Rattus norvegicus: one gene and its partners. The protein of the gene in region 2 interacts with the protein of the main gene of each other region in a pairwise test. Links are inferred from orthologs where the notes say so. Each region holds a gene or a part of one and is shown on either strand. Other genes may lie near its edges.

Region 1 (7,820 bases), on a different chromosome or scaffold from region 2:
AAAAACTAGGTGAAAAGAAAGAGTAAGAATAAGGAAAGAAGAAAAACATTCCACAAGATGAAAAGAAATGGAGATGAGAATTGAATGTATTTTGCAAGTGTCCATCATAAACTAAAGGCTCACACATTAAGTGAAGTAGTAAATGCCATCGATGAGTGACATGAATAGTGTTGTATGAGTTCACGATGCACACCACATTTAATAGAGCCATCAAGGCTAACATAAGCCACTGCTCTTGTAATTCATCTTCTTCAGTGCAGGATGAGGAGCCGCGCCCACACTTGGAGGGCTCTGTTGATAGTGTAGTATACAGGCCGCTCAGAAATGCCGGTTAAGATCTGCTGGAGAGGGCTGGAGAGGTGGCTCAGTGGTTAAGAGCACTGACTGCTTTTCCAGAGGTCCTGAGTTCAATTCCCAGCAACCACAGGGTGGCTCACAACCATCTGTAATGGGATCTGACGCCCTCTTCTGGTGCGTCTGAAGACAGTGACAGTGTACTCACATATTTAAAAAAAAAAAAATCTGCTGGAGACAATGTCTCGCAGTGGCCAGTAGGTGGCAGCCTACGGCCAGCCCAGGCTGCCCAAACTTCTGTTCCAAGTTCAACTTCAAAAACTCTACCACGTGATGGAAATAGCCACACACATTTTGGTGTACACCTTTAACCCCCGCACTTGAAAGGCAGAGGCAAGCAATCTATACCAACTTGACCTACATAGTGAGTTCCAGGCCACATAGGCCTACTCTGGTGCACACATAATCCTCAGTACCTAGGATGCTGCAGCAGGGGGATCACAAGTTCCAGGCTAGACTAGGCTAAGACCCTGGGTTTTCTTTTTTAAGTGTACTCTTTGTTCAAGAAAAATGAGCTTTCCTTAGAAGGATCACCAATCTGGGGACTGTACATGGAGAGACTGACAGATTTACAATGTATACATACATACATTATGTAAGGTACTGTTGCAGAGATGATAGACAATGAAGTGCTTGCCTGTTCTAATGCTGCGGATAATTCCACAGAGGAACAGAGACGTGAGGGCAGGTAGCTAAGAAGTTCCTCTGAGAGGAACTCAGGATACTAAGGCCAGGCTGCAAGGAGGCTGCAAGGAGAGGAGAGCTGCTGCCCTGGACAGTGAAATATGACAAGCTTCAACTCGTTGCAGGAACAGGCAGCCTTCCAGGACAGAAGGGTAGCCTAGAAAGCAAGACACTGTCACAGCGTTCCTCAAACATTAATTACAATCCTGTGACAGATCAGATATGAGAAGAGAGTCTGACGGGGGACTTCATCCAGGGTCTGAGAGAACGCCGTTTTGGATAGACAACTACGGTAAGGTTGTCCATGTGTGGCCCCCTTCACACACAATAAATAATTAAAAGTAAATAAATAACTTGTGCCAAATCAGAAACAGGAAGAGAGAGAATTAGTGTTGGATATCAGGATGCTTGTCCCCAAAGATTATGTACAGATTCTGGTCAGGTGCCCATGATAGATTATTCCTACATGTATAAATATTTGTAAACGCACAAAGGCCTTAGTAGATAAGAGTTGGGTACAAAGTTACAGAAGATGCTCTATGCTCCTTGTGTGTCTTTGCCTCAAAGGCCATGGCGGTGGCTGACATAGGGAGAGAGGGAGGGGGTCCATTCAGCTCACTGGGAAAGACTGAAAGGAGCCTAACAGGAGAAAAGGACCCGGGCAAGAGGAGGTCCAGGTAACCAAATCTAATCAGTCACTTGGTGTGGCTGGGGGGAGGAGAGGGCTGAGAGCCATAATCTTCTTCCTGCTACCTCAGTCAGAAATAACTCCTTAAGGGCCAGGGGAAGGGGGACAATATCCAGTTGGTTTCCAGGCTCTGAGGCAAGGGGAGAGAGTAGGCACACTCTTTGACTGCTGGGGACTGACTTTTTGTTTGGGGTATTTGTTGTTCTGTGACAGTGTATTGTTACATAGCCCTGGCTGGTCTGGAACTTGCCATGTATCCTGGGCTAGCCTTGAACATGCAACAGATCCTCCAGCATGCTGAGATTAAAGGCAAGAGCTACTTACCACACACAGGTTTTTTTTTTTTAAAGATTTATTTATTCATTTATTATATATGAGTACACTGTAGCTGTCTTCAGATACACCAGAAGAGGGCATCGGATCTCTTTACAGAGATGGTTGTGAGCCACCATGTGGTTGCTGGGAATTGAACTCAGGACCTCTGGAAGAGCAGTCGGGTGCTCTTAACCACTGAGCCATCTCTCCAGCCCCCACACACAGGTTTTTGTACGTTTTCCTTTTTTAAAAAAATTCCACATTAAAAATGCTATTTTCCCAGCTCTGGATGGTGATAGGAAAATAAATGAATGAAGTAAGAGTTTGAAGTCTCAAAAAGGATGTTTAAAAAGCTGGTGGAGCTACAGAATAGGTTCATATCTAGCACAGAGAACTTAATGACTCTGTCTCAAAATCAAAAGAAAAATGAGGGCTGGGGCTCTGGTTCGGTGGTATAGCACCTAGCATGTAGGAAGCCCTGGGTTCAACCTCCAGTGCTGTATACACACAAATACTAAAGGCGCCGTCGTGGTGGGGCCTGCATGCAACCCCGACACTTCCAAGTCTGGATCTGGAGATAGCAAGTTTAAGTCCTCCCTGGGCTACAGAATGAGACCCTGTCCCCAAAGCTGGGGAGCTGGAGAGCTGGAGAAGGTGTAATTTCACTGGAAACCTTTGCTTGTAATCGTGGTTGTGTTACTCACCAGAGTTCCACACTCAGTACAGTTCTGGTATTCTGACTTCATCCTCTTGGCTATGTCAGTTGCGGGCACTCCCTCTGAAGGAAGGTACGCGCGGCAGTATGGGCATGTCCACTTATTATTGTTCTTTATACTGGTTGCAATGCAAGAGCGGCAGAACCTACTCAAAAGAAACAGAATACATCAGAGATACGGCTCAGCACCTGAGTTCATGCTGTTCTTCTAGAGGACAAGAATACCTCTATTCATACGGGCACATACACACATACATACATACACACATACACATAATTTAAAAATTAAAAAAAAATCATGGTAGTCCACCATTTTAATTCTAACACTCAAAAGCAAAGGCAGGTAGATCTGTGAGTTCAAAGCCAGCCTGGTTTATAACAGGTTCCAGCATAGCCAGGGCTGCACCACACAAGTCTTCTCAGAAAAGAAGGCCGAGGTATCTGGGCTTGGTTACAGCCCATCCAACCACTCCCAGGTAAAAAGACAGACTCTAAGTTCTACCTGTGGCCCTGTGTGGAGACCCAAAACGTTAATCAATCCAGTTGGGCCTGTCAATCACCTCAGACAGTCTGATTTCCTCAAGCCAGATAAAAAGATGGGTGGGATAATTGTCCCATCACTGTGGTGATAGACTTTTAATGTAGCTTCCCTCTCAGAAACCCCACCTGGGAGTAGCTGCTTAGGAAGTCGGCATTTCTCTGAATTACCCAGAAAAAATGTAATGTCTTCTCTTTCAAGCTCTCACTGATGTTCTGGGCCCTCTCTGTCTCTGCTTCTGCTGCGTGGCTGCTTGCCGAACATAGACCCTAACTCAAAAGGCGTGACTTTCTCCCCATGTCTAAATTCTTTTATGAGTGAGACTAAGAACCTGAAGGGGTTGTGTGTGTAGAGAGATGGCTCAGTGGTTAATAGCACTGGCCGTTCTTGCAGAAGACCCAGTTTCAATTCCCAGCACCTACATGGTAGTTCATAGCCACCACTAACTCCATTTCCTAGGATCTGATGTTTTAGGATCTCCACAGGGACTGGGCAAGCAGGTGGCAAACAGAGCTCATACAATAAAAATAAGTATATCTATCTAGTTGGGCAGTGGTGGCCTTTAATCCGAGCACTCAGGAGGGAGAGGCAGGTAGATGTCTGTGAGCTCGAGACCAGCCTGGTCTACAAAGTGAGTTCCAGGACAGCCAGGGCTACAAAGAGAAACCCTGGAGAGAGAGAGAGAGAGAGAGAGAGAGAGAGAGAGAGAGAGAGAGAGAGAGAGAGAGAGAAAGAATGAGAATGAATCTGAAAAGGGAGACTCAGTTTTCCCACTAACATCTTTACCCCCTGGGATCTACTGGGGATTACAGTAGTAAGCCTGGCTGAAGGTGTATTCTTGTTTTCTTTGTTTGCTTTTTAGAAAGGGTCTCATTGTGTACTCTTGGTTTGCCTGAAACATATAACATCGATGAGGACGGCTTCAAACTCACAGATATCTACCTGATTCTGCCTCCTAAGTGCTAGAATTAAACGGATGGGCCACCAAGTTGTGGTAGTTGGAATGTGCTTGGTCCATGGGAAGTGGCACTATTAGGAGGTGTGGCCTTATCAAAGGAAGTGCATTACTGTGGGGTGGGTTTTGAAGCTTCACTCATGCAGGAGGGTCAGTCTTCTCCTGTTGCCTTTGGAACAAGATGTAGAACTCTCAGCTCCTCCAGCCCCATGCCTGCCTGGATGCTGCCATGTTCCCACCGGGATGATAATGGACTGAACCTCAGAACCAGTAAGCCAGCCCCAATTAAATGTTATTCTTTTTAAGAGTTGCCTTGGTCATGGTGTTTCTTTACAGAAATAGAAACCCTAAGACACACGTAAAACCTTGAAAGTATATCCTTTTTAAGAGTATTTTTACGAATGGTTCAAACATTCAACTAAAAGAAAAAAAAAATAACATTCCAAATACAATTATCAATGGCTACAACCTGAATTCTCTGCTTACACGACTTATGTCCTGGTAGATGACAGCTCACTCTATGGGAAGCTGGATATGAGACTGCAGAAGTACGAAGTCTAGTAAGACCTGAGGTTTTATGCTGGGCATGGTGGCACGACTCTAATCTTTACTTGGGAGGTGAAGGCAGGGAAATCAAGGTCACTCTGAGGTAAATAGCTAGATTCAGTCTAGTTTAGCCTCAAAAAGCAAACAAATAAATAAACAAAAGCCAATGGGGCATAGGAAGCAGAGGAGTGAGATAAAAACAGGGGGAGATTCTTTGTCAAATTAGAGGGGGAAAATTAAATCAGCACGGCAATATACCACTCTAATCCTAGTACTTGGGATTTCAGCCAACCTGGGCTACATATGAAAGTTTTAGGATAGCCTGAGCTACAATACAACCCCTTTCCTAACAGGAAAAAACAGTGGTAAGCATACAAGGGAACCTGGAGAAGAACTGGGAACACTCCTAATAGTAACAAAAACTACAACAGCTAGGAACTGCACTTAGCTGACATTCAGAAACGCCAGGAATCTCAGGGCATAATCTCAGCTGTGCTGAGAGAGAACGTAGACAGAGGACCAGCCTTAACTCAAGATCACACGAGTTCAGGGCCAGCCTGGGTACTGATCCAGAGCACCATGAAAAAAGACATTATTTTCAGTTGAACATGTGAACCACTTGCAATATGTGCTCTTCGAGAATATATACACTCTCAGCCCTTGAGACCTCTCTCAAATCATAAACCAGGCCCAAGGCTAAGAGTCCTAGCTAGGCATTCAGAATTAAGCAGGAGGTTTAACATTCCGAAGGTCACTGGAGGCCCTGCAGAGCCATCTCATATACTTTCAAGTTTATAATACATCTATTCAAGAGGGGTGGTGCCTTAAGCTGGGGGTGAGAGCACAAACCTGTAACCCTGACCCTTAGGAAGAGGATCAGAAGTCCGAAATGAGCCTCAACAAGTTCAAGACCAGCTAGAGGCGTATGAGATCCTGTCTCTAAAGTAGGTTAGGAGCATACTTCAGTTGTCCTGCCACACAAGCAGCCTTGGGTCTCATCCCCACCTCTGTGTAAACTAGACAAGGTGGCACATACCAGTCTCATATAATCTCAGAAGTCCAGAGACTGAAGGAGAAGGAGTTCAGGGTCATGTTAGTGAGTTACTGGCTGCCTGATCCCAAAGTTGATTCCAGAAAGCAGGTGGGGCTGATGGGGCTAGCCATCGGACAGACATTGACTACAAAGGACAGGAGGTGATTTGCCAGTGTACCGGAACTAACGATCTCGATCCGGACTGTGGTGTTGTTACAGTGTGAACAATGGCGGCAATTGATCAACCCACTCTGTACTACGTGAGTCAGAGTGTATCACCTCACTAACCCTGAGAAGCAAAACAAAAATAATTCTGTGATGGCAGGGAAATCCCAGTAACACTGTGACGAAGATCATGGGGCCACTTAGAACACAAGGTCCCTCCTCCACAACTCAAGCACAATAGGAGCTGCTCAGAACATGGTCAGAAAGTTGACAAAACAGCCAGTTTAGGAGAAATTGCCCAATAGAGACTTTTCTGGGAATTGCTGGAGTTCCCATGAGTAAATCACACTGTGGTGTCCTGGCTGTGGTGTCTTGAGGCTCGGCTGGTTTGTACGGAGTATTTGTATGCACTAAGTGTTTGAATGCTCATGGACAGTAATACACACAAAGCCTGGGTGCTGAGGTACATGCCTATAATCCCAGCATTTGAAAGGTGAAGGCTGGAGGGGCCATAGTTCAAGATCAACCCCAATGGTGTAAAAGGTTGACCAGCCTAAACTCTATTAGATCCTTTCTCAAAAGGTGTGATGTCTTTCTGCCACAAAGACAGAAAGTGGAGGGGAATTGGGGAATGGACACTAGGGAAAGGAGTTATTCAATTGTCTACCCTGACCCCACCCGGGGGGCTGTGAAGAGGGGAATCACAAAAAGAGGGATCAACACAAGAGAATATAGTTAAGACTAAAAGCTGATCATGGATGTAATGGGATACCATCTTGAAGAAGATCTCACTCCACCCCAGAGTGGTGGCATACTCCTTTAATCCCAGTACTCAGAGGCAGAGGCTGGGGGATCTCTGTGAACTGAGGACCAGGCTGGTCTGCCGGCCAGTCAAGACTACAGAGTGAGATCCTGTGTCAAATAGCAACAGTCTGGCTTCTTGTTTTCAAACCTCTGAATGCAGTCAGGGAAATACCAAGTGGTAAGAAGCCACCATGGGTTGTCCTCTGACCCCCACAGGAACGCTACAGCACACACACCCTTCCACATACACTGCACATAAAACAAATAAATGTAATTTTTAAATTAAAAAAAAAAAACCGCCACTACCATCAACAAAAAAAGCTTCTGAATACATTACCAGGGCTTTGGAATCAGATTTCACATAAACCCAACCTCCTGGCTTTGCTGGTCTGACTTTTCTTACTAGCCTGGTACCACTCCAGTGCCATCTCCCAGGATGCTTGGGGTAAAGTCCCTCTCTCTGGGGAGTGCGGTCCTTCCCTCCAGCACTGACCCCATCCCTCTTGTAGCACAGCAGGAGAAAATCAATAAGGAAATCCAGAATGACTCAACCAACTCGGAAACCAGCTGGAAACTTAATTACATCACTCCTATTTGTTATTTTATGAACCCCCATTTATTTCCCTAAAGTAATTAGCCAAAATCCCCTGTAACGAAGAGGCCGGCAGAGTGCTGGAAGGAAACAGGAAAACACAGTCAAGGACACTGGACAGACTTATGTCCCCAGTCTCAGAGCAAAACTAAACTCTAAATGAATTCAAACAGGAAAGGGAAGCCCTGGGGACTCTCTAGGGTTGAGGAGAGCATTCTGGAGGGGTAGTTCTGAGGGGAGGGATCTGGAAGACACAATTGGCAGCAGGTGGCAGGCCTGACCTTTTAACTGAGGCACTCAACATAAAACTTCACTGTGGGTGAGCTGGCTAGGCTTAATAGCTCACATCTACAATCCCACCAGTTGGGCAGCTGAGGCAGGAGGATTGCTTTAGATTGAAGGCTGGTCAGGGCTATATAGTGTCTTCCAGG
Region 2 (8,517 bases):
AGGTAGTCTCATTTTGTCAAAAACTATATTAATGAAACATGGTGGCAGATGATTTTAATTCAGGACTTGGGAGTCAGTACTCTACAGTTTAAAGCAGCCTGGTCTACATAGTAAGCTCCAGACCAGGCAGAGCTACCTAGAGAGATCCTATCTCAAAATGTGTGTGTGTGTGTGTGTATGTGTGTGTGTGTGTGTGTGTGTGTGTGTGTGTGTGTGTGTGTGTGTGTTTTACACTACCTTGTTTTGGGACACAGGGCCTCTCACTGACCTGAAAATCACCAAGTGAGCTAGGTTGCCCAGCCAGTGATCTCCACAGACGTGTCTCTAGCTTCTTAGCTCTGGGATGACCGGCTCCTACGACTTCTGCCATGGGTGCTGAGGGTTGAACTCAGGCCCTCATGTTCACCACCTGGCCTCCTCTGGTTTTGACTCTTCGTCTGCTGACTCTTCTATGGGACACTCAGTAGCTACAGGTCTGAAGGAGGGTGTCCTCTTACATCTAAAGTCTCTGTTGTGTTCATTGGTCTGACTGGACTTAGAAGCAATTGGTCTAGAGACAGATCTTTCCACACACCACAACCTCCAGGAAGAGATCCTAGGCCTGACCCTCCCTGCCCATGCTGACCTAAGTCTCCAAAGGGTCCCCACAGACACTCACTGGCAGCAGGAGCATGTGCCACACCAGCACATTGGCATCATCGCTAGACAGGTGGCGCAGGTATGGCGGAAGCTCCTTCGAAAGATCGTCCAGCTCCTGTAGGGATCACATCAAGGGTAGTAAGCCAAGTGCTCACAAATTCAGCCCCACAGCAGCAGCCCCACAGAAAGCCCAAACAGGATATCCTAAGAGCAGAAAGAGAAAGGTCAGAGCCCCAACTTAGGGAACACTGAGCTGGTGTGAGACCCAATGCTGAGTGGTTAATGAATTACCTGGCTTCAGCCTCACCACAACGCTGTAGGCTCCAGTGTAAGGATTAGGTGATCTCAAATATTCTCTCAAATAGTAAGAACTCCTAGGAGCCTTCTTTCTGAGGGCAAGGTACTCTGTCCTCTTGCCCTTTTTCTCACAGAGTCCTATTTTATCCCTCTCTCTTCAGTAATATCTGAGTTTCCAGTACAATATGCACTGGCAGAATGAATGGCAAGGCCATCACGCATCCATTCCCCGCCACCACATCATACCACCTTAAGGGTAAAGGACTGATCCAGGCTGCCCAGGCGAGAAACGCTGCACATCACACACGGTAGACAGGGGACAATGAGCGACTCGCCTTCTCAGAAATGTGGCTTAATCACCTGGGCATCCCTGATTTCTCCCAAGAGCAGTTTATTGAACATCCTCTGCTGACCCTTGACTAAGACAGGATGCAGCCCCCAAGAACATCTTTGGAGTAACAGCGGAAACAAATTTGAGGCCATGAATGGTGTGAATGGGCACACAACCAGGAAGGAGGGGAGCGGGGACACTTCACAGAGGCTGCGGCCGTGAGATAGGCCTTGAAGAGTAGGTAGGAGATCACCAAGCGAAAAAACATAGAGACAAGGCAGAGGGCCCAGACAGGACAAGCATGTGCAGGTCCCCCTTGGAATACTAATAGTTACTACAGGAAAAGGCCTTTATGGCTAAGTACATTTGGGAAAGATGAGTTATAAAGCTTCTTCACTGCAGAACAACCCAAAGGTTTTGCAGTAGTGAGGATGGGACTAAGGACCTTGAGCCTGCTAGGTGGTACCTTGCCACTGAACCACACCCCCAGCACATCCAAAGTCCCCAGGATACCATGGTGCATGCATTTGACCAAAGGACCACACCCAAGGACTCCAGGTCTTCACATTTTGAGAAGGGGGAGGTGGTTCGAAAAGCATTCACGGGCTGGGGATTTAGCTCAGTGGTAGAGCGCTTACCTAGGAAGCGCAAGGCCCTGGGTTCGGTCCCCAGCTCCGAGACGGCTCAGTGGTTAAGAGCACTGACTGCTCTTCCAGAGGTCCTGAGTTCAAATCCCAGCAACCACATGGTGGCTCACAACCATCTGTAATGAGATCTGATGCCCTTCTCTGGTGTGTCTGCAGACGGCTACAGTGTACTCATATATAATAAATAAATAAAATCTTTAAAAAAAAAAAAGAAAAGAAAAGCATTCACACATTCAAGGCAGCTCTGGGAAACATGAATAGATACAAACTAGTGGTTCTCATCCAGGGGTGTATTTACCCACCAGGGTGCCTTTGCTAATATCTAGAAGCATTTCCTACTGTCACAAATGGGGTGAGTGCTGCCACAATTCAGCATGTAAAGTCCAGAGGTACTGATGAAACATCCTACAAAGAATGATCTGGCCCCAAATGTCAACAGAGATAAAGTCGAGGAAGGCTTGTGTACACACAGGCAGGGAGAAAGTTCCCCTAAGCCAGGGGCTTGGGGGTGGCATCCTTCACAGCTGCACAGCATCTGTACCCGTCTCCCAAGCATAAAAACTCCCCACACTCCCTTTTATCTCTAAGCCTTCTACTTGCAGCCAGGACCATTCATTTGCCTATTCTAGCTTACCACAAGCATAACTTGTGCCTTAGCTTGGGCAAGAGCAAAGGCCTCGGTATAACCCAGATCTTGAATGGACATTTTCTGGGATGAAGATGCAGCTCAGTTGGGAGAGCGTTTGTCTAGCATGCACAAGGCCCTGGGTTCAATCCCCAGCATTGCATGAAACTTGATAAAGTGGTGCACATCTATGATCCCAGGTCTTAGGGGATGTGATGGAGACAGAATTAAGAAATTAAAGGTTGAGCTGGTGAGGTGGCCCAGCAGTTAGGTGCACTTGTTGGTCTTCCAGAGGATCAGACAAGCTGGGTTCCATTCCTGGCACTCACATGGTGACTGACTACCGTCTCTAGCTCCAGTGACTTCTGCTAGGCCTGCAGGTAGCTAACAGGTATACACACAGGCATCCATACACAAAAAAATTAAATTAAATAATTTAAATTGTCAGCTACATATCAAGTTTAAGGCCAACCTGAACAACACAAATTTAAAAATATAGAAGGGAAATTTTCTCTCTTACCACTGGGAGTACTTAGATTTTTAATGCGTTTTGATGACTTCTGGCTGAATTTCCTATGACTGCTGAAACCCAAGCTAGGACACACAGCTCCTCCCAAAGCCTGTTAGTAAGTCACCTGACTTAGGAGAATCGAAAGTGAAAACAGACGGGCCATTAAAGGCTCTGTGAGTTTGCAGTCTTATCAGCCTGAGCTCAAATTCCAGCCCCATTACCTCTGCAGAATATCACTGGTCAGCCATGTTACTTTCCCCGACGTCTCAGTTTCCTCCTCCGTGAAATGGGAAGACACAGCTATCCCACAGTTGTTGTAAGAGTTAGATAAAGCAAACTGCTTGGTGCTGAAGATTCCGGAGCAACAAAAGTCAGTCTACCTCTTAGCGTTGAGGTAGCAATTAACCTCTGTCCCATTTTGTACCAGCCTAAAACCAACAAAGTTTAGTTCTGGTTTGGGTCTGCTCTGGACTTCTCCACCTTAAAAGAATTTTCTTTTTGGAAGATGAGGACAGCAATCATCCCTCCTGTCTCCTGAGGAGGCCTTGCTCTCAATTCTGCAGACTAGAGGGGTGTTTTGGGGAGACTCAAAGCCTGGAGGTACCAGCACCAGTTCACCAGTGTTTCTTCTCCGTGATCTCCAATCCTGGTTCCAGTCAGACCTCTAGACTACCCTCTTTCCATTCTTTTACATAGTACCAAATAGTGTCCCACATAGAAATGAACATTCAAATGGAACAAGATTTTTGTTCCTTTTTTGCCCCTGCTGCCTGGCACAAAGTAGGCGTTTAGCATCTGTAGCAGGACTGCATACTAATAACCTACTCAGGGCATAAATTGTTACTTCTCATTCCAGGGACTATTCTGTACACTTTTATTCCAGGATCTGCCCATTCACCACAGCCCAACAGCATCTCTGGCTTCTGAGGCCTTGGGTAAGGTGGGTATCAAATTATGAGTGTATCCACTAGACGGCGCAACAGAGCCCTTCCGGTGCCTGAGATAAGCTCCACTAATAAATTTTCAGCAGAATTGAAACTGAAACCAGTTTAGAAATCTAGTTCATTCTCGCGCCAATTACAACTCCGGAAGCTGATGACAACTTTGTTTCCAGTCTGTCTCAATCAGTCCCTCTCCCTCCCTCCCTCCCCCCTTCTCTTCTCCCTCCCCCCTCCTCCCTCACCCCTCCCCCCACCCCTCCCTTCTCCCACTCCTTCAATGGGAGAAGGTGAGGATGCCTGGGTTTCAGCTAGCCCTGGTAACCAAATAAAAGTGTTCAGAGAGCAGGAGGAGAAAGTGGGGTGGGGGGGGTAAGCACAAGGAAAGAATCATCTTGTACAGGCTTACTTTAGCCACTCGCTTGCTGGCCGTCATCTCAGGTTGGAGCGTGGGGCAGCAGCAGATTCTTGCCGGACGATCCTGAGCCCCGCCCACGCTCTGCTCCACCTACACGGGCTCCAGCTGTAAAGACCTGCTTCCCACTTCTTCGAGGGATACGTGGAGGCTGCGGAGTGCCCAGCTTGGCGGTCTTAAATCCAAGAAACTCAAGCTCTTTGCAGATCAGAGACTACGTCTGTGGTTCCTGCATCTCGTAGAGTACATCAGGCAGGAGCTGGGATGGGGTTCATCCCTAGCCTCTGTCAGCTCCCCCGACGCCGCTGCAAAGTAACTCTGCTGCAGGCTCTCTCAGTGAGATTGTGGACCTAACCCCCACCTCTAGAGAAATTCTCAGAGTCCTGGGCCAAATCACTTTGCCTTTGTGGGTCTAGTACCCCATCCTAAAAGAGATTGGGGATCAGTGTAGACTTTATGCCCTCCAAGGACCGCTCCCTTAACTGTGTGGGATCCTGAGTGGTACAGTCCAGCAGATAGGCAGAGACGCAGCGTTGCTGGATGTTGCTTTTAGGTTGCTTGGTGCCGAGCACCACTAGAGGACGCTGGTGGATCCAATCTCTTCTAGTTAGGGGCGTTCTGTCGACCTTAACTCTTTTACTCGGAAGAACACATAGAAGGTGTCTGCTCTGTGGCGATTTGGGAAAATGATGGGTAGCTGAAGCCTCGAGATAGATTTCAGGAGCCTATATATTCTATCACCAGCCGATTACAATCTATGTACCTACTGTGTGTCTTCACAAACAGCCAAGGAGTCTCTAGCCCAAGTCGAGACCATGGTGGAATTAGCAGAACACAGCATCTGGGAGAAATTCTGAAGCTAGAGAGGAATCCACCTACCTGCCTCACCCATTCCAGCCCAGAAATTAGCATATTTTGAAGCCTAAGATTTTGACCCAGTATGCCACAGGATTTTTTTTTTTCTATCCAGGAACCAAATATCTGATCTGCTTAGATACGGGATGTGTTTGAAAAACGATTCTGTTTTTTCAATTCAATAACTTTAATCAGATACCTTCTAATGCCAGCAATAATAAACAGGACGCCATCAGCAACCCCTAAATATAGATAGGGGAGCAGGGCATTGAACCCATTTCTGGTTAGTAGTAGTCTTAGTTAACACCAAGTGCCAGGCACTGTCTATGGAACACACCAGACAGAGAAACTGTGGTATCTGTCCTCACAGGAGCTCTCGGGCAGTTGAAAAACAGAGAATTTAGCCTCTGGATTTTTGTACTTGTAGTTCTTTGAGTATGTAGTCCTGACTGGCCTGGAACTTGTTGGAGAACCAGGCTGGCCCAGGACTCAGAGATCTGCCTGCCTCTGCCTCCCAAGTGGTAGGATTAAAGGCAAGCACCACCACGCCGGCAATTTAGCCTCTGAATTTTTAATGATAATCACATAACGAATCACTGGGTCTGGGTGAGGGGGGATCACTTGATCTCCTCGTGGAGGCGGGGCAAAGGCTTCCTGGGATGATTGAATCAAAGGGAGGGCGCCTGAAGAGTTAGCTCCGCCTCCAAGGGCGTGGGAGGAAGTTGTTGAGAATAAGAGGGAAGGAACAGGGCTGGAGAGATGGCTCAGGGGTTAAGAGCACTGACTGCTCTTCCTGAGATTCTGAGTTCAATTCCCAGCAACCACATGGTGGCTCACAACCATCTGTAATGGGATCCGATGCCCTCTTCTGGTGTGTCTGAAGGCAGCTACAGTGTACTCATATATATTAAATAAATAAATCTTAAAAACAAAAAAAAAAAAAAAGAGGGAAGGAACAGCATTGGCAAAGTGACAGGGTGTCAGGAGCCGGAACGGATTGAGAGCGTGCAGCACAGAGAGTATGCTGTTTCTACTCCTTACTTTTGCAGCCCTTCATCACTGTGAATGCAAGCATTCTAGGAAGGGTCCGGAGCCAGCTTGTAAGAGCGTACACACACAGAGGCACCAATAAATAAGTAAATAGTTTATTGTAACTGGAACATAATAATTGTACATGCGGATGGGTACCGTGGGGTAATTCAACCTATGTATGTATATAATGATCAAATTAGTATTTGCATGGCAAACATTTCTGTGTGTTTGGGACCTACAGACTCTTCTGGTTCTTTATGAAGCACTGCTATTGAAATTTGCCCAAGTATGAGAAGTGATTCCGCAATTAATAACACTTGTTACTCTCACAGCATCTTCAGTCCAGTTTATATTTATATATATATATATATATATATAATATTTATTTTATGTATGTTGCTGTCTTCAGACACTCCAGAAGAGGGCAGCAGATCCCGTTACAGATGGTTGTGAGCCACCAAGTGATTGCTGGGAATTGAACTCAGGACCTCTGGAAGTGTAATCAGGGCTCTTAACCGATGAGCCATTTCCCCAGCCCCCTTGAGTCCAGTTTCTTGTACCTACATGGCAGCTCACAAACTATCCGTAACTCCAGGAGATCAGACATCCTCTGCTAACCTCCCTGGGCACCAGGCATATGTATGGTGCACAAATATGCAGGCCAAAGAATCATATACATAAAATACTCTTTTTTAACATTAGGAAAAGAAGGGCTAGAGATGACTCAGAGGTGACACTTCCAGAGGTCCAGAGTTCAAATCCCAGCAACCACATGGTGGCTCACAACCATCTATAATGAGATCTGATGCCCTCTTCTGGTGTGTCTGAAGACAGCTACAGTGTGCTTATATATAATAAATAAATGAATGAATAATTTTTTTTAATTAGGAAAAGAAAAAAAACGAACTCAGGGCTGGAGAGATGGCCCCACAGGTAAAGATTGTGGCTCCCCAGGACCCACATGGTGGGAAGAGAAAAGGAGAGAACTGAGTCCCTTGGGTTGTTTTCTGACATCCACATGAACACCATGCCATACACACACACACACACACACACACACACACACACACACACACACACACAGAGAGAGAGAGAGAGAGAGAGAGAGAGAGAGAGAGAGAGAGACACTACACACACCAAGTAAAAATATAATAAAAAATGAACCCTAGAATTTATTTCTTTTACCTAAGCACATTTGGTATCTATTATCCAGCTTCCTGTATAATTCCTCTCTACTTCTCTTCCTCACTCCCCAGTAATATTTATTCTATTCTCTGCTTCCGTGAGAACTTTCTCAAACTTCCACACAGGGAAAGAGCCAGCTGTGGTGGCACACACCTGGCACCTGGTGGGTGGAGACAGGACAATCAGTTCAATGTCCGTATTGGGTCCTTGAAGAGTTGGCAGCCAGCCTGGGTTAGAGGAGACCCCGTCTCAGACAGACAAACAGAACAGAAACCCCATATGTGACTTACAATATGTAGTATTTGTCCTTCAGTGTCTGACTTATTTCATTTACGACACCCACCAGCCATGCCCTAAAATTAAAGGTGGAAAATTTTAACAACCATCCAGTCAAAGCTATAGACAAATACATAGTTTAAAGGCAAAGGTGGACATTTAATTTTCTTAAGATTCATTTTATGTGCTTGAGTGTTTTGTGTGAACTTGTGCGTGGGTACCACATAGATGACTGGTGCTGAAGGAGGTCAGCAGACCACAACAATATAGCAAGCAACATTTTGTCATCTTCTCCCTCTTCATCATTCAGGCCAGTGACTTCTAGTGCAGGTAGAGGCCCCAAAAGGATGCTGAACATTTTAAATGGGTGTAAGTAACAAAACTGGGGCTTTAAAAAAAATAAGTAGAACACATATAAAACCTGGCTTTACTCTCCAAAGCTACAGAATGCACAGACAGATTTAAAAAGCATTTTCTGCTTTGGGTCTGGTTAAGTTTGGTGCGTGATGCTTATTATTAAAAAACCAAACAAAACCTTGCAGCCAGGCAGTGGAGGTGCAAGCCTTTAATCCCAGCACTGGGGAGGCAGAGGCAGGCAGATCTCGGAGTTCAAGGTCTCTGTAGAGCAAGTTCCAGCATAGCCTTGGGCCACACAGAAAAACCCTGTCTCAAAAACCAAACGAACACAAAATCTTCATATTAAATGTATTATTAAACCATAATAAAAAAGAATACAACCCATGTCTTGGCATAGTAGCTTAGTAAG
Region 3 (7,820 bases), on a different chromosome or scaffold from region 2:
TCATATACCCTATCTCTCAAAGCCATCTTCGCAGAAGAAGTGACGTGTGTTTTCAGAAGAGTTTCAATGGAATTGTGTCTCCTTGTGTACTCAGGATTGTGTTACACCAGGAAATGGTCTTCCAAATTGTGCTGTACTTAAATATGCCTGAAATGAACTTCCTGGGGTCAGACTCTGGAAGTTTAAACTAGCACCAGCTATGGAGTCATGCTGAACCAGACATCTGTCTTGCCTTACTTGAATCTTTACTCTGATGTTTGCAGAGACTCCAAGACTCTTCAAAATAAAGCTAAGCCCCAAGCCTGCCCCAAACTTCGGTACCCAGATGTCACCTCAGGGAACCAAGATTCACACAAACACAGGAGAATCATGCCCCTAGCGAGGCCTCCAGCTTCCCAGGCAATGACAGTCCCTCTCCCACATATCTGAATCCACAGCTCATGGCTGCCCTGTGAGGCTGCACGGTACTCACGTCCAGAGACTCCAGGCAGTACCAGCAGAAGGCATGCTTGCAGTTCTTACACATCATCTGTGCACAGCCCTCGTCCCGCTCGATGTACACCCTGCACTTGGGGCAGCGTTTGATGGGTGCGTCGCCCTCTTCCACCTTGAAAGCAGAGCTGTGGGAGAGATATACTGTGAGGGTCACGCAGAAGGGAATGAGGACGAGCTCAGCAGCAGGGCTGTTCCAGGAGCACTTCTCTACGACAGGGACCCAGGTCTCTTGCTACTAAAGGAAGTGATGTAGAGCCAAAGAAACAAAAGCCCTGGAAAACAAAAACATAGTCTATCTGCTAGATTAAGGCAAAACGAAACAAAAGAAAAAGCACCACCGGCACATACCTAAATTTAGATTTCTATAAAAACCAAACACCAGAAAACAAAGGCTTCACAAATGTGTACATTTTCCAAAGAGTGAATAATAAATTTTATCCACTTTGGTCTTGTCAGAAAAAAAAAAGTGTCATAAACACACATGTACATGAAGATACACACTTGCTTCAGAAGACCTACCTGGCTTGCCCGACAGCTTCCCTGGCATCTTGGGATGGATGTGCAATGGTTATTAGCTTTAAGTCTGGTGGCGGATGCTGGTTTCTCCACAAACCAGCTATAGGATGCCTCTACAAACGCATGAAAACTATGAAAGTATTCTGCTTGTGCAAAGTACAAAGCAGCCGTGGGGCTCTGAATGACAATGGCCACGATAGGCTCACATATTTGAATGTCTAGTCACCAGGGAGTGCTTAAGAAGACTTAGAAGGGTAAGGGCCTGTGGCCTGTTGGGAGTGGGTGTGGCCCTGTTGCAGGAACTGTGCCACTGGAGGTGGGCTTTGAGGTTTCAAAAGCTCACACCATGCCCGGTGTCTTTCTCTCTCTCTTCTCTTTCTGCTGCCTGCAGATCAGGATGTAAAACTCTCAGCTACTGCTCCAGCGCCAAACCTGTCTATTTTCCACCACAGTGTTCATGGACTAAGCCTCTGAAATGGTAAACCAGGCCCCAGTTGGATGCTTTTATTTATCAGAGTTGCCTCTGCCATGGTGTCTCTTCGCAGCAATGGGAACAGTGACTAAGACAGTAGCCGACTTTTGAAAACAGTGACAATAAGTCAGTACTGTTAATTAACTTTTCAAAAGTAAAACGGGTATCTAGGCATGGCTGAAGAAGGTCGCCCCATAACATTCCTTTAGTTTTCCCTTGAAATAGATAGTCGGGACAACATCTGGGAGAATAAATGGGAAAGGCCAAGAGAAGATGCCACCAAGGCGCATACTGTACCTATGTTAGAACCCATGGCATCCATATAGACCTGCAAAGAGACGGCTCCACTTGGAGCCGATCAGAGTACAACTCGTCCGAGTGCACAGTTGCTAAAGTCAGAGAGCACCTCTATTGGAAGGCATCTTGGCAAAGGGATCGTTTGAGAGGGCCACAGAATAGATGAGACTTAAATGCCTGGTGATCAGCAATGAGAATTTCCTCATGACCATGTGCACTGGTTTCCTAAGTGTAGCAAGGCTTCTGTTCCTGAGGGGGTTCTGTTTTACCCACCAATGGAATGTGACAGGTTTAGAGAGTCTGGGAAACGCTGGGGAGATGCTTCAGTGGGAAAAGTGGGGGCTATGCAAGCACAGGGACTGGAGTTTGGATCCCCAGAACCCAAATAAAAGCTTGGTTGGTGCAGTATCTCTCTCTACTCTTAGTGCTAGAGGCAGGTAAAGCCAGGGTCTCCCTAGGGTAGACCAGATAGTTAGTGTGTCTGATTGATGATCTCTGGGTTCAACTGACAGACCCTCTCTTCAATATATAAAATGGAGAGTAATCCAGGAAACTGTTCAGTGTCAACGTCCTTCTAAATGCTAGGATTCTAAGCATGAGCCACCATGTCTGGTTTCAATCGCGTGGTGGGGATTGAACATGGGGTTTCTTTCATGATAGGCAGGCAGTCTACTGACTGGGCTCATCCCCAGGCCTGAGAAAGTTTTATGATAAGAAAAATGACTGGGCTGGGAACCTCTTCCATTCAACTAGGAAGGGCCCTCCACTCCTGTCCTTCCTGCTAAGAGACAGGACTCACTCACTCACTTACTAAGGATTACTCTGAGAGAAAAATAAAAAACTGGACTGCTTCCCTGGGTAGATGCTTCATCTGCTTCTAGCTCTCCCTTTCCTAGAAATCAACCTCTATCGATCACTTTTAATCAAGCCAAGCAAGTATGTTTCCTCCTAGAGTCTGGAAGTTTCTATAACCCTACGTCTAAATTCAGTGGCCTTTGCTGGTATCCAATGCCTGACGTATGCCAGGTCAAGCGTCAAGCTTGCATAGTCCCTGCCTGACAGTAGAATTGTCAGTCATGGGAACATGTGACCTACGACATGGTAAGTCCTGGATGGCGGTGAATGCATCCAAGTTTCCACAGTAGGAAAACAGAGGATGTAGCCACCAATACTACCCTGGAGATAGAGATGACAGAATGGTTAGGGATCCTGGGCAAAGGGTGTCAAGGCAGCTCTGGTAAGGAACAGAGCAGACATGTAGACCTACGGACAAAGGGAGAGAGGGCAGGGCTGTGCTGGAAGAGCCACAGAGGATCTGAGGTACCTTCCTGAGGACTGGAAAACAGAAGAAATTGGGGACCAGGTGGGGAGGGCCCCGTTTGGGTAGGAAGTGCAGCCATGAGAGTGTGGTCAGCAGGACCATAGCCTCTTTGCCTCACTGAACTACATGATGGTATACATTTTATTGTGGGGAAATACCTCTGATATAACCAGTTTCCTATGGTTCACTCTTTTAAATTCATCTATAAAGTCCATCTGGGCAAACAACTGGGCTATCTGACTAGGAGAAGCAAAAGGGAAGAAACACAGTAGTCCTTTGCTGTATTCTAATAGACTCAGACTTTCAGAAACCACTGAACTGAGAATGGGATCCCCGTTGGAGGAATTAGAAAAAGGGTTGAAGGAGCTAAAGGGGCTTGTGACCCCATAAGAACAACAATACCAACCAACCAGAGCTCCCAGGGATTAAACCACTACCCAAAGACTATACATGGACAGACCCATGACTCCAGCTGCATATGTAGCAGAGGATGGCCTTGTTGGGCACCAGTGGAAGGAGAAGCCCTTGGTCCTGCCAAGGCTGGACGCCCCAGTGCAGGGGAATATCAGGGTGGGGAGGCAGGAATGGGGTTGGTTAGGGAAGGGGGATACCTTTATAGAAGAAGGAGAGGGGGATGGGATGGGGGCTTATGGACAGGAAACCAGGAAAGGGAATAACATTTGAAATGTAAATTTTAAAAAAGAAAAAAAGAAAGATGTGGGGCCCTTGGCTTCAGGTACTTGTGGTCCTACTGGTGACCTTGCTTATCACCAGCACTTACTATGCCTACTGTCCTTACTCCTACACTCCCATTTCAGATAAACTCCAACAGAGGGCAGCTATGGAAAACTTGCAGGTACCAGAGGAATTAATCTGGGTGAGTAGTCCAATGTGCTTCATGCAGGGAGCAGAGGGTGCTTTTTATGTTATACATCTTTATATTCCCAGGGTCTTGTGTTATACCTGCCAAATGTTCTCACAAGTAAACCACAGGTCTGAAAGAGACGGGAGGTGGAGTGTGTTCTGAGTCCAAAGCATTTACAGCCACCTGCTCTCAGGTGAGACCTTCAGGAAGGAAGCCTAACCCTTCTGCTAGCCCCTGCTCCCAGCCCCCAGCCCTCAGCCCCCAGCCTACTCTTTGTACCACAGCTCCTACACAGTACCTGGTCTCCCCGGGAAGGAAGCTGATGGGCATGGTCTCTGGGCAGCCTTGGCCAGGGTGCCAGCGGGCTTTGCAAGCAGAACAGAATTCCATGTCGCAGGCTTTGCACTGCACCAGCTGCGGGGTCTGCAGCCCTATGTCCTGGAGTTGGCACACGGCCTGGCAGGTGGATGCTGGGCACCACGTCCGACAAGGGTCAAAGAGCACCTCTAGCACAATGAGACAGAAGGCATAAATTAGAATCAGGATACCATGGGTACTGGAGAGGGTGAGCATGGAGACCCTCTGGGGCCCTGCCTAAGGCAGTGAGAATGAAGGACATCTAGGTGACCCAGTCAGACACTCCCCAGACAAACTGTTCCTTTACAGCTCCTGTGCCCATCCAATTCCACACAAACCCCTTCCAGCTTTTTACCCTTGTACGTGGTGTGCCCAGGGCTACCTCAGTTGCCATCTTGGCCTCCAGTTCCATTATATTCTGGAGAAGTATTCGCCAAGCCCAGTTCCTCTAAGTGTCAACATTACCAGATCTTTGTCTGCAACCTGCCCACTGGTTCCCCCACCGCGAGCAGGACATATTTCCTGAAGTCAGGTGAGAACTTTTTTCTTGAAACTTAACCCAGTGCCAGGGTCATACGCAGTCATTTGCAAGTATTTATTGAACGGTAAAAAGAAGGAAAGAAAGAGGAAGGAAGGAAGGAAGGAAGGAAGGAAGGAAGGGAGGAAGGGAGGAAGGGAGGAAGGGAGGAAGGGAGGAAGGGAGGAAGGGAGGAAGGGAGGAAGGGAGGAAGGGAGGAAGGGAGGAAGGGAGGAAGGGCGCAAGCCAAGCAGGCAATATTGTACTAGTTCTGTTGCCTTACTACATTTTCACGAAGCATACAAAACCATGGTTTTTGCTATGGCATTTCCAGTTCTAGATGTCTGATTTCAGACCTAGGTGTCTAATTTTGTTCTCAGTCTTCTAATAGGGCGGTTCACGTGCCCAAGTCAGATTCTCTTGCCAAGCCTGAACCCCTAACTACTGGGTAAAACTAGAAGCTTGTCTTCTCTGCAGATTATGCCCAAGTTACTGCAAAGCCTGACTTGATGGGATTGGTCAGGAAACTTAGTTTAAAAACAGGATATGGTGGCATTCCTCTTTCTTCACATCCTGATCCAAAACCTGCATTTATAATTCGTCCTGAGCTGCCCTCCATAGTGAGCCAGCAGGGCATCTCCATTTCCCTCATCTCTAGTGGACTTTGAACTTTCACCAGGTGCAGTAGGAGGCACAAACAGGAGGCTAACAGCAGGGGCCATGGCAGGCCAGCAAATCACAGGATCATCTCCTGCACAAGTTGCCTGCCCTCAGCTTTGCAGTCAGGCTCTCCTCAGAAGCAATCTGGGGAGCACTGACTTTTACTGAGAAAACATGCTTGCCTGCAAACCTCCTGGCCCTAAGCCAGGTAGCCGGATGTGGTTGTAGCTCACCAGATCCAAAGACAGGCACTTCACCTAATGGGACACCCAGCTGACTGGGAGTGCAGAAGGCCATGATGATTAGCACTGACTGTCAACTCCACAGGAGACTTGATCACCTAGGATACAAGCCTCTGGCAATACAATTTCACAGACTGTGGTCCTGGACTGGATAAAAAGGAGCAATCAAGCTAGGAACAGTTACCCAGCACTTTCTGCTTCCCAGCTGAGGATGCAGTGTGACCAGCTACCTTACCTTCCTGCCACCATGCCTTCTACTTGTATAACTTACAGAGTATGTAACTTCCAACTGTGAGCCAAATAAACCCTCCCTTACAAGGTCCAATGCTGCACAGTCCTGACCTCATACACATGTGTGAGCTTTTCTGTGGGTTTCCTGTTGCTCCAACTATAGGGGACAATCTGATCAGTGCTGGAGGAGCAAGCTTGTCAGGTATAAGATCAGTAATGGTTTTACCTACTGGTGTGGAGGCAGGCCAACTTCTATGAAGCGCAAGGTGGGGATTAATTTACATCGTTCTAGACCATGTGATGTTTGGTTTTCTGTGACATCTACTTGGTTTGCTGCTGGGTTAAGAGCCGACGAACCAACCCACAAATGAAGGTTCTGGGGGAAACCTTAATTATAGCAGCTGGGGGTTGGAGATGGGCTGGCCTAACAGCAATAGTTGGCTGACTCTTAATCCAAGGCAACCACTCCTTATTGATTAAGAAGTGTTCACCAAAAGCATAAAAGGATCTTGTTGTTAGGACAGCAAGGTCCTGAGATGCTGTATGTGGCACTCCAGAACTGAGAACTGTATTCCACATTGACTGGACTCCATTGCAATACTGTAAAGCCCCTTGTGGTGCTCCTGAACAGTAGCTTCTGTGCAACGTGGGTGTCAGTGTTTGCTGCCTGAAGAAAGTTCTTGGTCACTGAACATGTAGACGCACATGGAGATAGAACGGGGGGACATGGAGAAGTGCTGCTGGGCAGGCTTGGGGTGCTCCCTGAAACCTCACAGCCCTCAGGTATGTGCTGAGAGAAATCCCCAGGGAGCACCTACAGCCAAGGACTCTAATGATCCTCTCTGCTAGCCACCCTTCCCCTTCCACATCTACCAACTTTCAAATTCACCCCTCTTCGTGCACGTGTTTGGGGAGGGAGCCTGATCCTGGACCAGATATCACACACACTTTATCTGCACAGCTACTGAATGAAGTTCTGGAAAGAGGGAGACATGGGGACTTAACATGCTGGATGTGTGAATGAACACAGGCTTCATGCTTATTATCATGCTGCAGGTGAACCTTGCCAGGAGTAGGGCTTTCTGTCTCAGACCCTTGGAGTCCGTATGTCCTGCTTGCTGACCATCCTCTTTGCTCTGGAAGCCCCAGACATCAGTGTGGGTTGAGGTAGGTTTCTCTTCACATACTTCCTGACCTGTGCTACCACCCTTGACAACAGTTAAGTGAGGCTACCTTGCTCCTTTATCACAGAAGGCCTCATTCTGCTGTGGCATGGAGAGGAGACCTAGGGAAGGTTTCCATGGTAACAACTCCAAGTCTATGACTGTTTTACTCAGGGCAATGGTATGACCCTGCCTACCATCAGGGATAGATTCCCTACGGACAAGGTGAAGTGATCTGTCTCTAGGCGGAAGGTACCCATCCTCCTTGGGCTGAGGCCCACCCATCACACCTGGTTATGCAACAGCTCCAATCCCTAACAGGGATCTATTAATATGCCCGTTGTCCTTCTCACTGCTCAACTCTCCCGGCTGTGCATACAAGCAAGGAGAAACCCACAACAAAGCCCACAGCAGGCAGCATTCATGTGCTTCCCTTAGAATGTATAGACGTGTCCCTCAGCTCTCCTGTCAGCAGCATCTATAAATAACCCATGGTCCATGTTGAATCTTACATTGAATTATATCTACTATATTACACATTCCCATGTATGTACATAAGATATGTTTACGTGAAGCAAACTATGCCTTCTGGGCAAGCAAAAGAATCAAGTCATAACTACACTCTGCCAGAGGCATACTAGTTGTGCAGAGGAGGCTGGGGTTAACACAGATTTCTTAAGGACC
Region 4 (7,820 bases), on a different chromosome or scaffold from region 2:
CCCTACGAAGACATTCTGTTTTTTTACATTTAAGTGCACGTATATGCGTTTGTGCTATGGAAGACTGGGTTCAGAGGACAACCTGCAGGAGTTCCTTTTCTCCTCCTGCCATGAGGATCCTGAGGTTCTTCCTCAGCTGTCAAAAACCTTTACCCACTGAACCAGCTTGCCAGGGACATCATGTGTAAAGATCACCAAAAGTAGTGTGAACACCATGTTACCCTATGCCCACTGATTTTCAAGGATGCCCTATCTTAACTGGTTCAAATTTATTAGTGGGGCTGGAGAGATGGCTCAGCAGTTAAGGGTATTTGTGGCTCTTGCCCGCACCCCTCCTTTTAGACAGCAGGCATATCTATAATAAAACGTCACAGTACACATGCATAGAAAACACCCACACACAGAAAACAGGAAATCCCTAGTGACCCATTCTGTCATAAAGCTGAAGGCACTTCTGGGGGTAGTGTCCTCTCACACCTCGCTGTGTGCCCACAAGAGCACACTCAAGGCCAAGACCAGCCATGTGGGGTTGGGCCCCCCACAGTGCTAGTTTACCTCTCGTGACGGGTTTGTATATGCTTGGCCCAGGGAGTGACACTATTAGGAAGTGTGGCCTTGTTGGGGTAGGTGTGTCATTGTGGGTGTAGGCTTTTTCTACCTGAAGTATTTTCCTAGCAGACTCCAGATGAAGATATAGAACTCTCAGCTTCTCCTGTACCATGTCTATGTGGAGGCTGCCAGGCTCCCTCCTTAAAGATCCTGGACTGAACCTCTGAACCTGTAAGCCAGCCCCAATAAATGTTGTCTTTCTAGGACTTGCCTTGGTCATGGTGTCTGTTCACAGCAGTAAAACCCTAAGACAACTCTCATTAATGCTGCTTGTAAGCCGGACAACACTTCCAAACCCATTTCCAGTTTTGTCCCCTTTTGTTTAAACAGACAAATTCTTTTTTTTTTTTCTTTTTCTCGGAGCTGGGGACTGAACCCAGGGCCTTGCGCTTGCTAGGCAAGAGCTCTACCACTGAGCCAAATCCCCAGCCCAACAGACAAATCCCTACTGCCCACTTAGGAATATTCCAATCTCTTAGTTGGGTGTAGTAGAACACGCCTGTAACCCCAGTGCCCGTGAGGCAGAGCCAAGAAGTTCTCTCACGAGCCATATGTCCTGTGTACTGTGTTTCTACATCTGCTTCTGGAGGGACCCGAGGTCTTTAATGGCGGGACTTGGGTCATTCTTCAATCCCAGGATGCTTGTAGGGAGTGGCTCGGGCTCAGTTTTTTGCCAAGGAGAGAACTAACATTTCCAAGTTACTTCTTCCCGCTCTGCAGGGAGCACCTCGAGCTGCTTTCAATCCGAGAAGAAACTTCAAGAAAAGCAGTGCTCAGTCTGGCTGGGCCCTCAGAGCCCCTGAAGGAGTGGGAAGAACAAAAGGCAGTTGCTTTGAGAAGACAGACTCCACACAGTTTTATAATCAGAAAGTGAATTTATTTTGAATAAACCACTCAACTTTGTGAGATGACATTACCTCAACTTTTCTTTGAAGAAAGACAAGGATCTGGTCAGTTCATGAAAACACTGTCTTTCTCTACCCTTTGCAGGGCAAAAACACCAAACTAAACCAAACCAAACCCTCGCCTCCTGCCTGACCTCTCAGATGTTCTGATGTTAACGAAGGACAAGCACCGAGGGTGCAGAACAAAGGTCTCCACAGGTGAGGTGCCAGCTACAGGTTGGCAGAGCCTCCTGCAGGGCCAAAGGTCAGGGTCACAGCTGAGCAGTGGGAGGACGGCAGCTGTGCAGTTCAGAAAGTACCCAAGGGGAAGTTAGGCTGCAGAGCTGAAACTCTGGTCCTATGTCATGGCAGTGCCACCAAAAGGACTGGATGGAAAGGTCTGGTTACCAGCATCACACACCACCCTGGGCCTGCAGCAGGTACACTCCTGGCTCACAATCAGCTCCCATTGGTATTCTGGGTTCATTCACCATACCCCAAACTACTACTCCTAATCCACCTCACAATCTCACTTGTCAGGGACGACATGAAGAGACAAGGTGAAAGAGGATGTACAGCTGGTCATGTACCCCAAGAGTCACAGCTGTCACCTGTCAAGAATAACTCAATTTTACAGCTTTACATGGTACCTAGGAAATTGTTGACTGGAGGTGAAAATGTATGAATATCAAAGAATCTGCATCATAGTATTCACAGATTTCTCATAGGCTCTCCTAGGAGTTCAAGGAGGTCCTGTCAAGTATAGACAGCTCTGCCAGTCTCAGAGGGGAGGCACTGAGCAAAGCCATGGAAACCCCAGAGATCACAGATCTAACTTTTCAAAGGCCCACAGGACCAGGTTCAAGATAGGAAGGACACGGCACTCAACTGTGCAGAACTGGTCCTTTCTTCTGGCCAGCCCCTTCTCGTACAGGAACTGAGACCACAAAGCAGGGATTCTCCTGGCCTTAGACTCCCAGACCACAGAGACGGGGACTTCTGGCAGCTGCACTAGGCAAAGGGGACCACACCCCACCACGGAGCAGCTTCTGGCCACACTCTAGGTGAACATAAAAATAACTTGTGCAAACCTCTTGAGTCACAAGGCCCATGCCCTTGGTCTAAGAGCCATGCATGCTGAACTCTGACCTTGTGAACTCTGTTCATAAGAACACAACAAGACAGTGACTCTCGTCAGAGTCCACCACCTGAATACTGGATCAAAAGGAACGACCAAGGAAAAGGAAACACATCGGGGGACGATTCCTTACAAAGGTGGATTCCTTATCTTTATGAAACAAAAGGAAGCACCATGCTGAACCAGTCTCCCAGTTCAGGGGTGCGTTAGCCCGCCCACCTCTGCTGTGGGTGCTGGCCTGGGTGGCCTGACTCAGGTAAACCTCACATTCAAGAATAAAGCCAGCCTGCAGTGAGACCGTGCTCTGCTCTGTGCCCTGGCTGTCCAGAAGGAGTGTGACTCTGTACCCGTGCCTATTGTACAGGCCAACTCAGATCCCTATCTGCCACCCACATTCTCCCCTAGAGCTCCAGCTCCAGGGGAAAGCAGAGGCCACGCCAGGGCTCCGGCAGTGTAGACGCTGAGACTGGGTGGGCGGGCAGTATCAAGTTACATTCTAAGTCATGTAGCTAAAGGGTGAAGCACTCCAAAGCCAATTTATTTTAGACGGGCTCCGTGTTACCTATGGTTTGCCTCTTTTCTTTATAATCGTACAACCTTTGAAAATTACATAAGTTGTAATGATCTAATACTATTAATAGCCATTCAGAAAAAAAGTTCCCTCCCGCCCAACAACCATCCAGGGGAAATTTAAAGTCCTCACTAGAGGCCAGCTCAACATGGCCTCTACCCTGGTAGAAACAAAAAGCAAAAAGATGAGAAGAAAACAAATGGACTAAGAGGTGTGTTGCCAGTGTCTTTCAGGAGTGGGGCCCTGGCTGTTGCCTGGGTCGTGAAAGGCAGAGCCTGCAGCATGCAGTTCGGTAGCCGGGTGGCCTCACAGCTACATCTTCCTCACCCCGGCACATCCACAGCCCGGTTTAGGTGTCGTGAAAATCCTTTAGCAGGGTTCTTCTCCGCTGCTCTGCTATGTGCATCTGGTTTTCCAAGTCCTGTCCAATCGACACAACAGGTTTTATAAGTTCCAATGCCAGGAGCGGAGAGCACGCAAAGCCACAGGCGGTGTATTGGACGCTCCAAGGAGTCTAAAGCTGACCTGCCCACCCTCTAAGGCAGCACCTTTAAATCCCAGCCCAGTACAATCACTGTTAAATGACACCCTTCCCTTACCTGAAGGAAGGCGGCAGGCACTTACCCCTCTGTCATAGCTGTCTGCACGCTCAACTTTCCATGAAAGGTTTTCGATCTCAGCCTCCAGCTGAGCCTGCTGGTATTCAAACTGTATGGGCAGAGCAGGAGGGTCAAAAGGAGAGAGGGCTGTAGCCGGGCAGGGCCTGCAGATGGAGGGTACATGCAGCACCTCAGGCTCCAATTAGCAACTGACAAGCCTGACACTGTCCTCAGCATGCTTGTTACTCTTTATGCCCAGAGCTGGAAAAAACATCCAAAGAGCTTCCAGAAGAGAGAGCAAATGGCAAAGTAACATTTGCCGTCCACCACCAAAGGAAGGTGAGAAGCTTAAAGCCATGGGAAAAGATGGTCCCAAAACACCGGGACAGACATTACAAAGGTTAGGTTAAAATGGATATTGTCAAGACACTGTATTTACCCCACATTCTACTCCCCCCAGTCATGTAGTCATCTGGCCAGCAAAGCCTTACGATGGGGGTGCCAATGCATCTCAGCTGGTGAAATACCTGCCCGAGATGTAAGGAGCCTGGGGCTCAGTTCCCATGAACTGGGCGTGGCACACGCTATGGCGCGGGAATCCCAACGCTAAGGAGTATCAGAAGGTCAAGGTCCCCTCCTGGGTTATCAGCAAGTTTGAGGCCAGTCTGGGCTATTTGAAATCCTACCTCCAAAAATTACCAACCAACCAAGCAAAAAAGACCAAACCAAACAGAACAGGACACCCTTTGATTCTTTTTTTTTTTTTTTTTTTTTTTTTTCGGAGCTGGGGACCGAACCCAGGGCCTTGCGCTTCCTAAGCAATCGCTCTACCACTGAGCTAAATCCCCAACCCCAGGACACCCTTTGAAAGACCAAACAATGTGGCCTGTGTGGTGTGGGCCTGTGATCCCAGCACGAGAGGCAGAGACAGAGAGTTTAAATTCGAGGATCTGGGGGCTGGAGAGATGGCTCAGTGGTTAAGAGCACTGACTGCTCTTCCAGAGGTCCTGAGTTCAATTCCCAGCAACCACATGGTGGCTCACAACCATCTGTAATGGGATCTGATGCCCTCCTTCTGGTGTGTCTGAACAGCTACAGTGTACTTATATATAAATTCGAGGATGCCTGGGCTAAGGTTTTTTTTTTTTTTTTGTACTTAGAAGAAAAAAATCAAATAGTAACCATACACTTGAGGAATAAAATGTTACACAAAAAGACTTTCCTCAGTCTTATTTGTGAGAGGAAAATGGAAACAATTGTCCTGTCAAATGATGACACATTAAGGTAAAACATTGTAGCATTTTTGTAAAGAAGAATTCAATCTGGTAAAAGGTGAGAGGCTTGACAACCATACATTTGTGCCTTGGTTTTTGAGAAGGATTTGCTATAGTCTAGGCTGGACAGACAACTCAATCCTGGATCACTGGAGTTATGAAGTTTGTGCCTCTGTGTTTTTCTGGTGCTGAGACTCACATATGCTCTACACAAAGCTTTACTTCGATAACATTAGTTTTAAAGGCTAGAACATGAACAACATAAATGCTATGTTTCCCAACATTTAAGGAATATATAAAAATTACTTTTATCAGCAGGAGGAACAACCATATCTAAGAACAACTAAAGGAAATAGACAACTATAACATAAGGATGTGTATGATACGGCCACTGGCTATCCAAGTGATCATAGGCTTTTTGAGTCCATTGATCTTTAAATATCAAGGTTTAAGGGATCAGGTGCATCTGGCTATTATAGCATCTGAGGTTTATTTCAGAGATGCCCAGAGCCAGAAATATCTTTTTGCAGTAAGACAGTTTTCATTGTGTTCTCCCAATGATATCAGGTCAGAACCATGTCCATCTGCAAAGTGCCTGTAAGAATGGGGCCCCTCTAAAGTTGCAGGGAACAGCAGAAAGGCAGTGATGGCTTACCAGCTTCTTCCTGGGGCCGGATTCCATGTAGTATGCATATGGATAGGTATATTGCAGGGTGTATCGACACTGGAATAAGAAAGAAAAAAGTCTTATCTTTGATTCTACTTGACCCACACATTGGGTAGCTCTTACAATTCATACCCAACCATGCAAATGATGACTCTAGACATGTGGATCTAAAAGCAACAAGGCCAGACTATGGAGATGGTGGACTACAGGAAGACAGGGAAACAGGAAACAAGACTGGCCACAGAACCACCACCCTTCATACTGACTCATAACCACCAGCTGCTCAGAACTTTTCTGTTTTTTAGTGGTCAGTAAAATCTACATCTCAATACTTATCAATTATAGACTTTCTTTTCAGTTATCCATAAATGGAACAAAGAAGAAAAAAGGCTTTAGTTTTCTCTGTTGGCAGAGACAGTTAAACAAACTGCTCAGAAGTCCTTTGGACATTGTGCTGGCTGGTTTTATGTGTGTCACCTTGACACAAGCTGGAGTTATCACAGAGAAAGGAGTCTCCCTTGAGGAAACGCCTCCATGAGACCCAGCTATATAAGGCATTCTCTCAACTACTCATCAAGGGGGGAGGACCCAGCCCATTGTGGGTGGTGCCATCCCTGGGCTGGTAGTTTTGGGTTCTATAAGAAAGCAAGCTGAGCAAGCCAGGGGAAGCAAGCCAGTAAGTAACATCCCTCCATGGCCTCTGCATCAGCTCCTGCTTCCTGACCTGCTTGAGTTCTGGTCCTGACTTCCTTTGGTGATGAACAGCAATGTAGAAGTGTACACTGAATAAACCCTTTCCTCTCCAACTTGTTACTTGGTCATGATGTTTGTGCAGGAATAGAAACCCTGACTAAGACAGACATCTAGCAAAGGGCTAAGACTTCTGGTATATTCAGCACAGGGAAATGTGGTCCTGTAGACACGCATGCAAAGCTAGTCAGGGCACCAAACTCCCCCTTCCCCCTTCTTTCAGAGATAGCCTCCCACCCTAATGTTTGCAGCCAACAGGGACTAATGGTAGAAAAGTGAGCTGGTGGATACCTTGGCCAACAGCTTGGCGGCATTCTGCAGGTACTGCCAGTCAATCCACGTTCCCAGATTGTTCATAACCCTCTCTTGAATCTTCTCGTGAATCCGCTGGTATGTTTGTGCCTCCAGCTGCAAGCTTTTGTTGTGATTTTCCCACTACAAAGCAGAGGAAGAAGGAAAAGGGTAGAGTTCCAGGAAGGTACAGAGGTCAGCAGATAAGTTTAAAACAAACACTGGCTAGTAGGCCATGTCCTCGGATTGCTCTGTCTTCTTATGGAGCACACGGGTCCTGGACATCACTCAACTAAGGGGGTACCAGGTCCTTCCCCAGCATCCTGCACAACTGAAAACCCACATCTGTAGAAGGCAATACCAAGCACGTGCAGAAGCTCCAGTCACTAACTTCCACATATGCACACAGCATCCCAGTGCTCTCACGTCGTCAACAGGCCAAGTGGAGAAAGCCAACTCTGAAAGGGCTGATGTAAGACAAGACACCTACCCTCTCAAAGTAGAACAAGTACTTCTTGAGGGCCTCCCTGGCCTGTGCTTGCTGGCTCTGGTTGACAATGTCAGGATTCTCCTTGTACCGACTACATTCATAGTACTCACTACCATGCGTCTTCCAGTCTCCTAGACACATCCAGCAGAAGTCTGCACAGAAAGGAGGGTGAAGTCATTTACCTGTACAAGACAACCACACACTCCTCCAAGGCACAGGCAGGAAAGTAGGGTGAAGAGGTAACCCCAACAGAAACTCCCAAAGTTGCCTCTTTGCAGAGGGATATACAACTCTCATTCTTGTCACAACTCACTGCTCCCCCTAATTGTTAGGACAGCCAATGGCCTATGAATTAAAAAACATACATGTTGCATGCCTTACTGTGCTGTACAAGATCACTGCTCAGCACAGTCAACACTACTGCAGGAAGCAAAACTGTGCCCAAGAGTCTCATCTGGTCATCTAGAACACAGGCTGCCTATATAAACTGCTACCTAAGCCTCACAATTCTTGCTTGTCCTAAGACCTTTATACACAAAACTGAAAA

Evidence for each region. The genes of interacting proteins can lie anywhere in the genome.
Region 1: the proteins of Ube2l6 (region 2) and Rnf125 interact in a two-hybrid assay, tested with the Homo sapiens proteins (3 studies listed by BioGRID and IntAct). The link is inferred for Rattus norvegicus from reciprocal best matches to the Homo sapiens genes UBE2L6 and RNF125.
Region 3: the proteins of Ube2l6 (region 2) and Rnf144a interact in a two-hybrid assay, tested with the Homo sapiens proteins (2 studies listed by BioGRID and IntAct). The link is inferred for Rattus norvegicus from reciprocal best matches to the Homo sapiens genes UBE2L6 and RNF144A.
Region 4: the proteins of Ube2l6 (region 2) and Arih2 interact in binary tests that used the Homo sapiens proteins (3 or more experiments, as listed by UniProt). The link is inferred for Rattus norvegicus from reciprocal best matches to the Homo sapiens genes UBE2L6 and ARIH2.

Annotation. Positions count from the first base shown.
Region 1 is NC_086036.1:12,536,157-12,543,976, reverse strand, and holds part of Rnf125 (E3 ubiquitin-protein ligase RNF125), read right to left. Parts: intron 2,903-7,820; coding exon 2,746-2,902; intron 1-2,745. UniProt on the Homo sapiens protein: E3 ubiquitin-protein ligase that mediates ubiquitination and subsequent proteasomal degradation of target proteins, such as RIGI, MAVS/IPS1, IFIH1/MDA5, JAK1 and p53/TP53.
Region 2 is NC_086021.1:90,276,078-90,284,594, reverse strand, and holds the start of Ube2l6 (ubiquitin/ISG15-conjugating enzyme E2 L6), read right to left. Parts: upstream 4,891-8,517; 5' UTR 4,425-4,890; coding exon 4,398-4,424; intron 3,140-4,397; exon of another isoform or gene 3,060-3,139; intron 755-3,059; coding exon 659-754; intron 1-658. UniProt on the Homo sapiens protein: Catalyzes the covalent attachment of ubiquitin or ISG15 to other proteins. Functions in the E6/E6-AP-induced ubiquitination of p53/TP53. Promotes ubiquitination and subsequent proteasomal degradation of FLT3.
Region 3 is NC_086024.1:48,645,696-48,653,515, forward strand, and holds part of Rnf144a (E3 ubiquitin-protein ligase RNF144A), read right to left. Parts: intron 4,473-7,820; coding exon 4,265-4,472; intron 621-4,264; coding exon 473-620; intron 1-472. UniProt on the Homo sapiens protein: E3 ubiquitin-protein ligase which accepts ubiquitin from E2 ubiquitin-conjugating enzymes UBE2L3 and UBE2L6 in the form of a thioester and then directly transfers the ubiquitin to targeted substrates.
Region 4 is NC_086026.1:118,173,803-118,181,622, forward strand, and holds the end of Arih2 (E3 ubiquitin-protein ligase ARIH2), read right to left. Parts: intron 7,426-7,820; coding exon 7,274-7,425; intron 6,928-7,273; coding exon 6,784-6,927; intron 5,800-6,783; coding exon 5,731-5,799; intron 3,966-5,730; coding exon of another isoform or gene 3,933-3,965; exon of another isoform or gene 3,911-3,932; coding exon 3,827-3,910; intron 3,624-3,826; coding exon 3,552-3,623; 3' UTR 1,465-3,551; downstream 1-1,464.